Linked DNA regions of Caenorhabditis elegans. The protein of the gene in region 2 interacts with the protein of the main gene of each other region in a pairwise test. Each region holds a gene or a part of one and is shown on either strand. Other genes may lie near its edges.

Region 1 (6,801 bases), on a different chromosome or scaffold from region 2:
TGAGTCATTGCAAACACGGTAGTACTGGAAAATACTATTCAAATTTATAAAAACATTTCAGGTTCTTGGAAGAGTACATGTTATCCGCTGATCTTTCTTCAGTTCTGGTAGTGACTGCTTGTGCACTTCGACTCCCAATATATATGGTAAGTGATTATAAATTTGAATTTGTCAGTTCGAAATTTTATTGTAACAATCCTCAAATTTACTGGCTGAAACGGGACGTTGCAAATGTTTTCAGATGTTTCTTTAGAGATATAAACTGTAACACAAAATCAACTCATACTTTTTTTCATTTCAGCTGTGCAATCCGGAGCTTCGAAGAGCTGTAAAAAAGTCATTCACTCATAAAAGCGAACATCAACAAAAGATGCATCAAACCTTTTCTCTGATTGCAAAGATTTTAGTTTAATAGTTTCAATTCTATGTATGTAATTCAATTGTTTTAACTGTGATTTGTAATTCCAAATGATCAACGGGTCATCGGTTTTTTTCACAATTGTGACTAAATTCTTATAAATATGTAAATTTCAAGTGTAAGCATGACGTCACATAAGATGTGATTCTTTCTGCGTAACAATACCATTTCATAGTTCACTGCGTATTTTTGTTGCTGGTCATAAAGATTTATTCATAAAGCTGTGATTCTGCAATTTTTTTGACAATTCAACTTAAATTATTCAAAAAGGGCAGCGTAAAAGATCAAGAACTATTTAAATATTTACAAAACCCGTAGAAAGGTCATGAAAATCTATGTAAGGGAATGTTTGAGAAAATATATAAAGATGGGAGAATTAAGATAATCTAGGCAAACTCTATAAGCCCTGGCAACTCTCGTGGTCGACTTGTTTGTGCCGTGAATAAATCCTCAGTGAACTCCTCTCTTGGCTCTTTATCGATACTGAACTCGACAGATTTTCTGGGGATTTCTCCATTGTTTGGCCCAATGAATTCAGTTTCAGAAGAGGAAGAGGATGATGAAGAAATTCCAGCTTCTCCTTCTTTTGGCCTCATTTCTCCAGTTACTTCTGGAATTTGTTCACCTTCTGGGAACCATGGGCGAGCTGAAAGAAAATTGTGTGAAAGGAATGTGAAACAAATTTAAAAAACATAGAGCTCCTGTTTTAACAAATCCCCACTGTTTCAATAAATATATAATCACATACGTCTATGTCTTCCTCCATTTTCACTTTCAGATCTTTCAGTACCAATTAAAGTTGGTGGACGAGTGACTCCCAATGAGAATGGAGGTGATGGAGGTGGTTGTTGAGGGGGCATTGGCATTCCACGACCTGTAATTTTTTATTTAAGATAGAAAAAGTTCCAGAGAAAGAAGAATTATAGATGTTCAAAGTTCATATGATGTACGTGTTAAACTTGAAATGGAAAACAAAGACATTGATGCTTGATCAAGATAACTTTATGAACAGATGATTTTCCTTTTGAACGATTAGCTTCTGCTTTCCAGAAAATTCCTATAGTCAAACTTACCCAAAAATGAGAAAAAGTTTTTGACATTATCCATAAAACTTCCAAACTGTCCGGCTGGATGACCAGGATTTGGCTCATTTCCAAATTGCACCTGACTTCCCATTTCAACACCTTCACGTCCTCCACCAATTCCCCCATCAACTCCAACACGTTGTCCGCCGACAAGAGCTCCATTATTAGCTGAAAAAGGAAATTATTGAATATTACATCAAAGGCAAAATACAGTAAATTTAAATGAAAATTATTAATGAAAAGAAAGTTAGATTGAGAAGTCCATACTGTTAAAAAATGTTATAATTATAAATAAAAAAAATAATTATATCTAACTAATAGTAAGATTGTTAAATTTTTAATAATTAATACATGCTAAATCAATTATAAAAATAAAAGTTGGGTACAACTTAAAAATAACTTCGCATATAAAGTAATGGGAAGTCTTCAAAACCTTGGTTTGAATCTAATAGTAAGCCAGTAATCAACACATTTTCAAAAGAAAACTGTAATGACTCGGTCATCTTTCGAGCAGTAGGAGCTATTCAACATATAACAATTTACCGATTGGGCATGCAGCCAGGCCTACGTTATTAAATCTGTACACGAAGAGTTCTTAGTCTTTAGAGTTTTGCAATTTTGTTGTTAAAAGTGTTAATACTCACATCCCAAAGCAAATCCAGCTCTGTTACCAGCTAAATTAAAGCTACGATCACCTCCAAATCCTAAAATATTTGCTCCTTGTCCCATTCCCATGTCGAAGCCGCCATTGTTCTGCTGAGGATGGAGAAAGAATGATCCGAGATTTATTTGAGAAGAGCCTGTAAAATTGAATAATACGAGTGAATTATAGTGAGGTCAATAGTTAATTTCAATAGTAAATTTTTGTATTATTGATCTAACTCTTTAGTTTAAAGCTGAAAAACCATAATTTTACTTATAGGGTGATAAAATGGATGAATACCGTATTGAAAAATATTTAAAAAAAACTGAAATTTTTCCTTTACAGATAGAGTCAAAAAGTGGAAATTGATTTCTATTACTTTTGACCACACATGATTTTGGAAGCCGATCAAAGAAAATTTGCAAATAATTTCGATTTTAATTTTTTGCGATCCTAATTCGAACGTTGTAAGTTTCTGAATATGCAGCATTTCTCAAAAAAAAATGCAGCATTTCTCAAAAATTTGGTGATTTTCCTTGTGCTTCAGAAGCTTCAGAAAGCTTCAGAAGATCTTGTTTCAATGATTTTTAAAATACACACACACTCCCCATTAGCCATCATATGAGACCCACCCGCCAAACTGTCTGCTTCACCCGTTTACCCCCTTTTCTGATCATGTGTTTTGTCCTCTGTTACGGTCATCTATTCATTACACACATACAACATTTTTGCCTCCTTTTTGAATTCTTTATTCCATTGTTCAAAGAGTGCCTGACTCATTACAACCTCGTTTATACTTTCAAACAAATGAATTTCTTGTCACTCTCAAATTGGGAAGGTGTGGGTGGTTTCAGAGATTAACAAGGAAAAGCATCATTAAGTGTATAACGTGACTGTTGTTGTCTTAAAAGTGATGTCAGAGTGAAGACAATAGTGATTCGGGAGGAAAATTATATGAAGATACGTACCTTGTTTGATTGATAACAGTAGTATTAGAAGTGTTGATTTCATTCTTGATGCTGAAAATGTTCAACTTTAAATTTTAATACTTTTAATATGTAACAGCAAAATTGAAAACCTAGAAAATAAGATAACAGTTTTAGAAAAACTACATAATATTCTATAGTTTCAAAATTTTCAAATTTAGATTTCAGATGCAAAAAAATTGACTCAGAAAAATGAAATTCTAAAATAACTTCAATTGTAAAATAGAAAGAATTTTACTTTAAAAAAATTTGAATCTTTTAATCAGTTAATTTGGACTGAAGTCAAAGCATTGAAACGATTCAAAACTATAACTGAAAAGTCAGCCAATTTTATGAGCGAAATGAAATTGAAAGGAAAAAGTTATACTAGTATCTGTACTAAATAAGATGAAAGTAGTATAAATTGAAAGAAATCACTTTCAGTTGGACGAAGAAGCGAGAAAAAAATGTAGAAGAGCGGTTTGGTCACTTTTATGAAAAGTATTCGCTATGAAACCATGTAACGAAACAAGGCGGACCGAAGGAATTGACCTTGGTCACCTCGTATTCTCGAAAATGATGGACGATACAAACTGAAACTGATTGAAGGCTGTGAAAGGGGCAGAGAAGAAGAGAATGACTGCCCTCCCCTGCTACTACTTCTGATGCCATTTTACACCTATTGTATTGTTGGCCCCAATTTGCATTTACAAACAACGAGATTGAAAAGGAATTTGAAATGAGGAGAAGAAGGTGGAGATAGATGACTTGGAGGCTGGATGTTTGGGAGACTAAAAACACCAGGTTTCACACTTTTTTTTGCTGATTCTAGAATGATGGGAAATAGAATATGATTAGTAAACAAGATCGTTTGTTAAAAAAAAGTCCAAGGAAGGTATGCCCATTGGTTTTTTTATGCTAAGATTTATTTAATCAATCTGATTCTATTAACAATGTTAAAGTTGAAACCATGTTCAATATTTTTTTTTTGAGCATTAAAAATATCCATATTCACCGTGAAAACTAAAAAGCTAACACTAAGATTTTTTTTGCTCGTTTCTTTCTACACGTGAAGGGAACAAATCCAGAAAAGCCATCATTTTGTAAAATTACGAAGTCACTTTTGATAGTTTCGTATGTGAGTTAAATTTTCTTGTTTTCTTAAGAAATACACTTGGCAATTACAGAATGTTATCTCTAACAGCTCATTTGGTTTTAATTAGCACAATCATCGTCAAATGTTCTGCTTTCTCCAAAAAGCCCAGCGAGAGAGCCAAGCCTGCAGCCGTAAGTAGCTATTATGATTTGAGATTCAAAAATAATGTTTTTAGGTGAAAAAAGCTGTGGAAGATAAGCAACCAGTGAAAGTGACAGCTTTCGAACAAGCTTCTTTGAACGAGTGAGTTATCTGAAATGTGAGCGCTCAACAAATCTTAATATTTTTAGAGACAAGGCTGAGGCGATGTCAAATATTGAGCCATCTCCCAAGATCTCAAACTCCACCGTGCCTACAGCTCCTACTCCAAAGAAGGAAAAGAAGGTGGTGGCCACAACCAAAAAAACGGAAAGATCTGTAGCTCAGGGACCACCGCTAGTTTCGGAACATATTAAAGATGGTAAGAATTAAAAAACAAGTATGAAATAATTAGTTACCGTTTCAGAGAAGAAAATGCCATCGGTTCATAAGCCAATTCGAAAAGGATCGATTTACGCGAATGAATTATTGACTGAAAAACCATTGACTGACACTGAACCAGAACTTCATCCAGACAATCATGTTGTGAAGGCCAAATCGCCAAAACCAGTTGCTCGAACTCCAACTGCACGCCATCGTAATGCTCTGAAACCAGGAAAAATCAATGATAAAAGTGATGATACACTTCATGATGCTCCATCGATTCAGAAAGTAGGAGGTCCCAGTTATGAAGATGTGAGTGATTTGTTGATATTCAAAATAAAAAATAAAAATAGTTACAGGCAGCTTCTGTCAACGAAAAAGAAAAAGATGTCAATCCGAAATGAATCAACGAAGGAATGAGCTCGAATAAAAATGTATTGCCCTTTGAATACGATTAAGTCAATAAAATGTTTGCTGTATTCTTGTTGTAAATCTCATTGATTTCTCGTGGTTAAAAATAAATTCTAACTTCGAGAATCGATTGAAGAACTCATAACTCACAATCAGATCGAAAAGGAGGCTACAGTTTCGGGAATCAGCTTTCAAAAATCGGAAGGCGACGATGGTGGCGTCTCCCATAACAGCATCAACCTAACCAATTGGCAAACAGTAAAAATCTAAAATATATTTGTAACTGTTCTCCCAGTTGGTCCCCAGAAACAACCAAGAGGTGAGCTACCATGATGAACATTGCGAAGCAAGATAAATAGTGAAAATATGAGATTATTAGAATATTATTCATTTATTTCCATCTTTCCATGTTTCTGTCTCACATACACACTTCAGTCATCACCGATTATCCATTTGAGAGCACATTTATGCTTTGACGCTTCACGATGTTATCCTAAATGGCAGGGCCATCTGTCATCGGTTCATGCTCATATTGGCTCAAGTTGCGAGAGAGAAATATGGTGTTTGATGATCGGTGTATGTGTTATTCGACTCATGTTTTAATAGTTAGTCGTGATTGAATGAAAAGTTTAAAAATAATGTTTCAAAATCAGATTGATATCTTCGATGGGTATTTGACATTCAGTAATTATAGGTTAGAAAAATTATTCACATTATTTTTTTCAAATGGAGTTTCAAAATAATGGCCACACAAAAGCTATTTATATATATATACAATTTAAATCGTCTTCTGAGAAATTTTAATAATAGTAAGTTGCGCCGAGTTTAACACAAAAATCAGAAAATTAAAATTTAAAATCAATTGAATTGGAAAATACAACAATTTAAAAAAAAAATCTTCTGAAAAACCACACAATACATATTCGAGACCTATATCCAATTAAAACTTAAGAGGTTTTGCTTTGATGTTTACCACTTCTTCTATTCAAATCTCAGCGTAACTCTGTCAATCACACATTTCCCGATTACGTAACTTTGTCATTTTTTGAATGATGTAGATAATAGTCATCTGCAGGAACAATTTCCACCCTCAACAAATGCAATAAAATGAAATATGACCTCTTTTGATGAAGAAAAAGTGGAAGATCAAGTGTCTCGAATTTCTCGAAAAACAATCCAATCAAACTAAAATTTTCCACATCCGACCTTCGCAGGAATTTGAAAAAACAAATGAGGTCCTCGGGGTCTCCCATAGCAACTCACTCTGCGTCTCTTCCTCTCACGCACTGTCTCCCCAATATTTCGTAACTCTTGTCTGCGTCTCGTGCTCTCTACTTCTGACATCCGGAGCCGTCGGTCCATGCGTGCGCGAATTCGTATGTCTGGGCACTCTTTCTCCTCTTCCAAAGCCATGAAACCTTTTCCCATTTGTCCTTTCTTTCCATTTGGTCTCTTTGGTGGTCCCTTTTCTTATATATCCTTCAAATTGTAGTATTTGTTGTTAAGATTGATCTGAAGCTTTCCAAAAATGTTGCAAGTTATGTTTTCAATTGATACATATTTTTGTTTGAGTTGTTTTGAACATTTTTGGGGAAAGAAAGCTTTTTCCTCTGACGATAAATTTGTGTTCTGAAAAATCTTAAACCCTTTGTAAAAAATTT
Region 2 (3,024 bases):
TCGGTCATTGTGGTACCATAGGCGTGTTTTAAAGCAATTTCCCCACTGGCGCTACTCCACCTTTAATGAAATATCTACAATATATTACCAAGTTTAATAAGTTAAACAAAACTTAATTAAATTGCTACTTACCGAAGAATTGTGAACACTTCACACAGAAAAATGTGCGACACAAAGACATGTCTACAGAAAATTACAAAATGCAAAAATGGTAAGCACCTACCATTTTATTGACGACTGATAAGGAGTCCGATAAGAAAATAACTTAGGAAAACTGAGGAAACTGAGAAATTCTGAATGGAAATTGACAATATTTTTTAGAATTGCTCGAAACTACGCGAGATGATATACGGCAAATCTTACGAAACGTGTTACGAAACTTCCTCTCTATTTCGGACAAGAATTCTTTAATACGCGGAAGTAGAAAAATATTTTGCTGACCTGTAACGTTTTTTTCAGGGAGCCTCTGTTCGATCTCAAGAAAATACAAAACAAAAATCTGAACGAGAATAATAATAAAAACTCCAATTTATTCCATTTATATCAGATTTATTTTCTTCGTCTATTGGGCTGGTGGAGCAGCAGCTGGATCCTGTGCTGACGGTGCAGCACCTCGTGCAGAACCTCCAGATTGTCCCTTCTTCAACTCATAAACCTCAATTCCGAGTTGTCCAACGGCGGCGAGCACATGGATGAGCACGAAAAGCGAGAAGAATGCATGTCCAGAGACACATAAGAAGACGAGGACACCGGAGAGCGCTGGCACCAGAATCAAGGCAGCAGACTTTCCACGAACTTCATTCTCTGACGATGAAAGAACCTTGTTGAGCTCCTCGCGACCATCCACGTTGAGACCAATGTTGTGAGCTGAGATGGCAACTGCTCCGCCAAGGAAGATGAAGTAGAAGAGCTTAGCAAGGAAGTTGCAATCTTCGAGGGAACCGAATAGGACCAACAGGAGCTGAAAATTATAAAGGTTTTAGATGAAAAAGGCTACATTTAGGGATGACCGGCAAACGGAAAATTCGGAATGCTGAAAATTGCCGAAAATGGAGTTTTCCGACAAACGGCAAAGCCGACAGATTGCCGTTTTCAAATTATCGGGAAATTCGGCGAACCGGCAATTACCCTTCATTGCCCACACAGAAAATCTTCTACGCTTGTATTAAAATCCCCAAGGAAAGACCTGGTCAGGGCGAGATCTTTACAAAACCTCCCAGAAATCCCCAAACATACCTCAAATGAAGCACAGACGATGACGGCACCACGGACGTAGAGCACGTACTTGTTGAACTCGTATGGTGGGATTTGATCCATTGTAGCTGCGAGAGATCGTTGTCGAGCGAGTAGAAAATCGGTGATGATTCGAGCAGAGACTGATTTGATTTCACATTTTTTCGAGCTTTTATACGGACGAAACTGGGGCAGATTAAACGTGGCGATAGGGAATTGTCGGGCCGATGCGTGAAATTATTTTATTTTTTGAAAACCCTTTAAAAAATTAAAAAATTGAAAATTATAACTTTTTTGTTTCACGGCCATTTTTGAATTCCTAGTTTTCTGCCATTTTCAGGAACTCTAGGACATATTAAACAATGTATTGGGTACGCTTTCATAGTTTAGTTTGTAGTTTGTAGTTTGCACTTCCGTAGCTTCAACTTTATAGATTTCAGTTGTTAGGAAAAGTTTTTGAAGTGGAGTTGCACGTTTCAGTCTCTTGTCTCAACTCTATAGTTATCAACTTCAGGTCTGTAGTTTGTAGTTTGTGGTTTGTAGTTTACAGTTTCTAATTTCTAATTGGTAGTATTCAATCTGTAACTCGCGTAACAGTTTTGGTTTAATTTGTTTAATCTGAAAATTCTAGATTGCATGGGTATAGTTTATAGTAATATTATATTTCGAAATCTGTGAAAATTGCAGTTTGTAGAATTGTAGTTTGTAGCTCACGAAATCACTTCCATCGGTTGGTTTTTTCCACAAGTTACTATTTTGTTACTGTTAAACACCAACAATTTACTAGCCGAAATGCTAGAAACTGGAACTTTTCGACAATTGTTCCTATTGTTCTGAACCATCTTCAGAACTACTTTAGCCATCAAGTATATAGCCTAACTAAAATACAATAAATCTGACCAAAAGAGTATCCTCGAAACAACCACCCCTCCTATTATATAATCATCTGGTTTTTTGGATCTCGCCGATTTCGACACGCTTCCTGACTTTTTTCCCTAATTTATCCCCCTAAAACCGGCCCACCCTCACGGGGCAAAGGTGGAATAGGGGCACAAAACTGTTACGTAACCACGCCAAATTGTTACTTTTGTGTTTGTGTCGTTATTTTTTTGTTTAGATTTTGTATTCTAATATGTATAGTGTTTTGGGAATAATATCTACCACTTTTTTGTCAATTGTCATCATGAAAAGTTCCAAGAAATCAACTTTCAGATAAAAAAAATGTTTGTTAAAACCTCCGCGACAATTTTTGGAATTTTCCTGGTCTTGGTCACGTGGATTCATGCCGAAAAAGTGCACGTGATTGAAGTGGACGATGTGGGAAATAAGACAATTTCAGGAGAAGTTGAAATTTCAGGTAAAATATATAATAAAGATGAGTTAAGAAAATATTAGAATTTTTTTAGAATTTTTTAGAAAACATTTTGGAAAGTCCCAGAAAGTTTTAGAAAGTTTCAGAATTTTTTTGGAATTTTCACAGTGCTCCAAAAAAATCCAAGAAGTATCAGAAAATTTCAGAATGTTCTAGTTTCTTAGGACAGTCCAGAAAGTTTTTAAAAAAAGTTCTCAACATTGCTAGAGACCACCTGGCAGTTTTTAGAAATTTTCAATAAACTTCAAAATATTTTAGAATCCTCTAGAACTTTATTAGATCCTCTTTTCTAATCGGGAAAATTTTAGAATCGTTTAGCTTCCAGAAACTTCTTCAAAAATTTTTATAGAAAATTTTTCAGAATCAGGTAATTCAATGGTTTATTTTTCGAAATGACGTGTACCAGTTATTTGATGTAT
Region 3 (4,578 bases), on a different chromosome or scaffold from region 2:
CATCGAAGTGTGTCTTCCAATTAGTCGGAACAAAAAGTGATATGGATTCACAGCGACAGGTAATTTTTGAACAAAAGTTGTGTTTAAAAAATTGGTTAAAAGCTTTCAGGTAAACTATGAGGAAGGCGAGTACTTTGCCAAGTACCATAAAATGAAGTTTATCGAGACGTCGTCGAGAACAGGAGACAATGTTAATGAAGCTTTTCATATGATTGCACAAGAGGTTTTTTTGAAAATGTTTCAATTTTATGATGTAATTTTCAAATTTTTAGATTCAAAATCGAGTCGACGACGGAGAACTGCGGCCCGTGGATGGCTGGGAAGGCCTTAAAACTGGTATTATGAGGTCACAATCCGTGTGCCTATCCGAAAGAAGTTTCCCTCAAAACAGCAGCGCAGGAGCTTGCGGATGTTGATAATTTCTCCTCAATTTTTTAATTTTCCCCGTAGTCATAATTTCGCGTAGCGTTCTTATAAACATCAAAAACTCAGCTATTTTGTGTACTTCCTGTGAGCTTTCTCCTTCATCCAGTGTCACCAACCTCACCTACTCTCCCGGCATGCATTCTTTTGAAATAATTTCTAGTCGTTCTGTCCAAAAACTTCAAAAAAAAAGATTTTTTTTCAAACTTTGTTGTAAAAATACAATTTTACAGTCGAAAAACTAGGAAATTATCGGGATTAGAAGAAAAGTAAGAATCACAATCACTATTCAGGACAACCTGTCAGGGGTATCGGGAAATATTGGTAAGTTTTAGAAGGTCTTGATTTGACAACAATTGGTCTTGGGGAAGGATGGGCATTTTGAGAGTGAATATACAAAATAGAAAGGAGAGGAAATAAATTAGATGAAATACAAAGAATTATGAGAAATTCGAGAAGTAGAAGCAATTGTTTATTGTGATCCAGAAGGGGCAGAGCAAACACTTCGAACATCCCAAATCATAATCACACGATTCTGTCCACTGGTAACTAGAAGTCCGAGAGTTTCCTGGAGATGCATAGCAGTGATTCCAGTATGGATTTCATGTGGAATTGCAAGTGGAGTAAGGCTAAAATTGAAAATAAGTTTCATCAGTCATTTGCTTTACAACTTACTTGAAATTCTGTGGATTATCTTTCATTCGTGCATTGCAGTCATTACAAATGCGAATTTTCGTCTCATATCCCATTGGTGGATAGGTGGTCCAGTTGTCACAGCAAGATCCACAGACTGCTGATCCACAGGTTCTGCAGTGATGTTGTCTCAATCCGACCACTTTCCTCTGCCACATTGCTTGAAGATTCCAGAAGAACGGTTGATTGCATTTCTGACAGCAATCCGAAGTTTTCCATTCAGGAGTCTCAACTCTCTTGCAATTCATGTCCCAGCACATGAGCTTTCCGTGTTCGTCAGCCGAGAACAGACGTTTGGCTGCTGGAGCTGCGCATAGTGTTGTCACTTTTCCATTGTGTCCGCTGAAAAAAACATTTTTTAATTTGGAAAAATCTATTTCAACTAAATATAATTCAACTTTTGCGCTCGAAAAACATCAACACTTTCGAAATATCACGTAAATTCCAGAAATATACACTCACTTAAGCTCATAAGCTTCTCCTCTTCCTCCTCCGATATCCCACATTATGATGAGATGATCACTGCTTCCAGAATACAAAACTTTCTTATTTCCGTCCCATGTGAGCGAGGTGATTGCATCTGAAAAATCATTGAACTAATTCAAACCACAATTACTAATTGTATTGATTGTGGGGAATTTCAGGAAATACTGGAATGTTATACTTAACAAATATTTTTCCTAGGCACGATAGCATTTAAAATTTCGAATTAATATTTTACTCAAAAAAAAAGAATACGATAAAAACTCACTCGTATGTGCACTAAGCTTGCTGACAAGATTTGGTTGATTATCGACAATACGAAGAACAGTGACATGCCCACCATGATCTCCAACGAATACAAATGGAAGATCAATGACCATTGCTGTACAACTATTTTCCAAAAGATAACTTCCCATCTTATTTGAATTTTCTGAACAATGCCAGACGATAGATTTATCTCGAGAACAGCTGAAAATGAGCTCGGAGGAGAGTGCAAAGCCGAGTCCAGAGATTGGTCCAGCGTGACATGTCCATTTTCGGGATTCTGTCATACTGTTAAAGTCATCGGCAACACTGAATTCATAGACATTTCCATTGATAAGTCCGACGAGCAGCCTGAATAAAAAAATTAAAAATTTAAAAAATAAAACGATTTAAACTTTAAACTAACTTATAAGTTTCTTCACTGTAATAAAGACTTGTTGGAGCAACTGGCATGAAATGATGAATTGACGGCCAAAATTGATCATTATCTCTTTTTAAGTACAGGCGAACGGATCTATCATCACTTGCAGTCCAGACTCCTTCGTCTTTTGATAGTAAAATGACGTCATTGATACGAGCCACGTGGCCAGTGATTCTGTGAAGAAGAGCTGAAAATTAAAATAAATTCGAAAATTACACAGGTTATGGAAATCAAATGGTTCGTTTTCAATTCACCAACCTGGTTTGGCTCCTCCCATACTTGATTCGCCCTGTTCGACGCGTTGATTGATTATTGCAGCCATAATGGCTGAAAATCTGAAAGAAAATCAAATTGAATGCCAATAAATGACACATAAAGTTTAGAGGACGGAATGCAGATGTTTAAAGCAAAAATCGATAAAACCACGTGTTCTCGCCCGTTTGTTTACACTTCTGCACCTTTTTTACTTTTGTTACTATTTCTGAACTAAATATTTCCTTGTGGAAATTGAAATTTTTATCAAACTAATTTTGCAACCGGTCTGGAAACAGATGAATCAGTGCCCGGTAAATAACGGAAAACCGGTGCGGCCGAGAATGAACTTGTTTGGTGGACTCTAGGCCATTGGCTGTTTTAAGGAGGATATTCAAATTAACAGCAACGTTTGAGCTTTTTATTTAATCGTAATATATTTATTCGCATGTTTCTATAATTTCTCAACAGGAAAATGACTGTTCGTCACGAGGAGTACATGTTCAGCTGTGATTTGAAGTGAGTTTTGCGGTTTTTATGTGAATTTCGTAATAATTTTGAAAAAAAAGTGCAAATGCATAATTAAAATTTAAAACAAACGAGAAAAATAGAGAAATTTAATGTTAAAATGCGCAAATAAAGAAAATAAATGACAGTACCGCAATTTTTTCAAGGCGCAAGAGTCAGAAAACCAGACGGGTCCCGCAACGACTTTAAACTTTTATGAATTTACAGGCCTAGATTTTCTTACTGTACTAATTTTTTTTAAAATTTGAGTTATATTTGAAATTTTTTGCAGAAAACGCCGAGTTTTCGAAGAACAACAAGTTTCACGGGCTCTTTTGAATTTTCGATGGACAAAACATATTCCTATGGGTTGTGATCAGACGGGGAAAGGCCATCAAGAAGATATTAGTGCGATTGATATAGATGATGGTGACCAAATGTTGGTTTAATTAGGAGTTTGTTTAAAAAAAATTGATTTTTCAGGCTACTATTTGGATCTCATAGTGGTTCAGTGTCAGTTGCCAAATATAAATACTTGGATCGTAAAAAGTGGAAGAAACCTATGACTCTGTATGTAACAACCGCAATAATTCTAAAATTTATCAAGATTTCAGAAAACTTGCGAAGCAATCTCTGAAAACAATAAAATGGTGTCCAATCGATCTTCGCCTTTTCATGGTTACAACAGCATCAAATTGGATGCGAGTTTGTGATAGTACCATGGAAAAAGTGGTTCATGGGAAACAATTTGAAGGAGATGTTTATTTTGATTGGAATGAGTATAATATGACAAATTCAAAAGTTGCCGTGGCAGATGGAGGGAGATCAATGAAAATTATAGATTTTAGGTAAGCTTTAAAAGTTCCACGAAATGCCTGCCTACGTGCCTGAAGGCTAGTGGATCTTGTATTGAACAAGAGCTATATTTTGTTATGACTGCCTAACTTTCTAAAACTTTGGTCTTACAATTTCCCCTGGTCGAACCTCTTGTCTTAAATTTTTATGAATTATTTCAAAATTTAAAATTTAATTAAAATTAATTAACATTTTATATTTCAAAATAAATATCATTTCAGAGTCGGAATGGATCTACCTCAATCGATATATTGGAATGATGAACCAATTGATGTTGTACAGTGGTATCCATCAAAACATCATTACTTATATGCAGGACGACGAGATGGAACAATTGGACTATTTGATATTCGGAGCACACGTGGAGCAATTGCTGAGAAATCTCTTCACAAATCACAAATTTATGGACTAAAGTACTTTATTTTCAAAACTTTAAATTGAAGGTATTCTAAATCTCATAAATTCCAGAATATCTGCCGATGGACATCGTCTCATCTCTGCCGATAGATCGGGGTACATTCATGTGGCAGATACGTGGGATTTCAGCACAAAATTTGATTTTTCCTGTGAATTCGATCCACTTATGCAGCGTCGTCCAAATTTGGAATTTATATATGAGAAGGATTTTTATGTGGCAACGAATTTTGAAAAACTGACGATCATTCGGTTTTCTGATAATG

Evidence for each region.
Region 1: the proteins of Y38C1AA.7 (region 2) and B0034.1 interact in a two-hybrid assay, tested with the Caenorhabditis elegans proteins (one large-scale study listed by BioGRID).
Region 3: the proteins of Y38C1AA.7 (region 2) and wdfy-2 interact in a two-hybrid assay, tested with the Caenorhabditis elegans proteins (one large-scale study listed by BioGRID).

The regions. Positions count from the first base shown.
Region 1 is NC_003280.10:5,966,467-5,973,267, reverse strand, and holds B0034.1 (Glycine rich superfamily member), read right to left. Parts: upstream 4,773-6,801; 5' UTR 4,765-4,772; intron 4,728-4,764; coding exon of another isoform or gene 4,558-4,727; intron 4,511-4,557; coding exon of another isoform or gene 4,443-4,510; intron 4,399-4,442; coding exon of another isoform or gene 4,300-4,398; exon of another isoform or gene 4,299-4,299; intron 4,250-4,298; exon of another isoform or gene 3,737-4,249; intron 3,166-3,736; 5' UTR 3,158-3,165; coding exon 3,115-3,157; intron 2,304-3,114; coding exon 2,148-2,303; intron 1,672-2,147; coding exon 1,492-1,671; intron 1,293-1,491; coding exon 1,167-1,292; intron 1,065-1,166; coding exon 805-1,064; 3' UTR 606-804; downstream 1-605. Other genes in the region: B0034.5 (G-protein coupled receptors family 1 profile domain-containing protein), read left to right, coding at 1-18, 62-146, 302-412; B0034.4 (uncharacterized protein), read left to right, coding at 4,300-4,398, 4,443-4,510, 4,558-4,727, 4,773-5,041, 5,089-5,133.
Region 2 is NC_003282.8:157,321-160,344, reverse strand, and holds Y38C1AA.7 (DUF7087 domain-containing protein), read right to left. Parts: upstream 1,384-3,024; 5' UTR 1,318-1,383; coding exon 1,237-1,317; intron 962-1,236; coding exon 563-961; 3' UTR 509-562; downstream 1-508. Other genes in the region: Y38C1AA.19 (RING-type domain-containing protein), read right to left, coding at 133-181; gegf-1 (EGF-like domain-containing protein), read left to right, coding at 2,455-2,590.
Region 3 is NC_003280.10:9,317,906-9,322,483, reverse strand, and holds wdfy-2 (WD repeat and FYVE domain-containing protein 2), read right to left. Parts: upstream 2,620-4,578; 5' UTR 2,607-2,619; coding exon 2,543-2,606; intron 2,472-2,542; coding exon 2,270-2,471; intron 2,215-2,269; coding exon 1,868-2,214; intron 1,697-1,867; coding exon 1,579-1,696; intron 1,459-1,578; coding exon 1,099-1,458; intron 1,053-1,098; coding exon 896-1,052; 3' UTR 606-895; downstream 1-605. Other genes in the region: Ras-related protein rab-39, read left to right, coding at 1-59, 110-223, 273-416; csa-1 (WD_REPEATS_REGION domain-containing protein), read left to right, coding at 3,012-3,055, 3,336-3,482, 3,527-3,613, 3,658-3,891, 4,120-4,311, 4,367-4,578. UniProt on the Caenorhabditis elegans protein: Plays a role in coelomocyte endocytosis.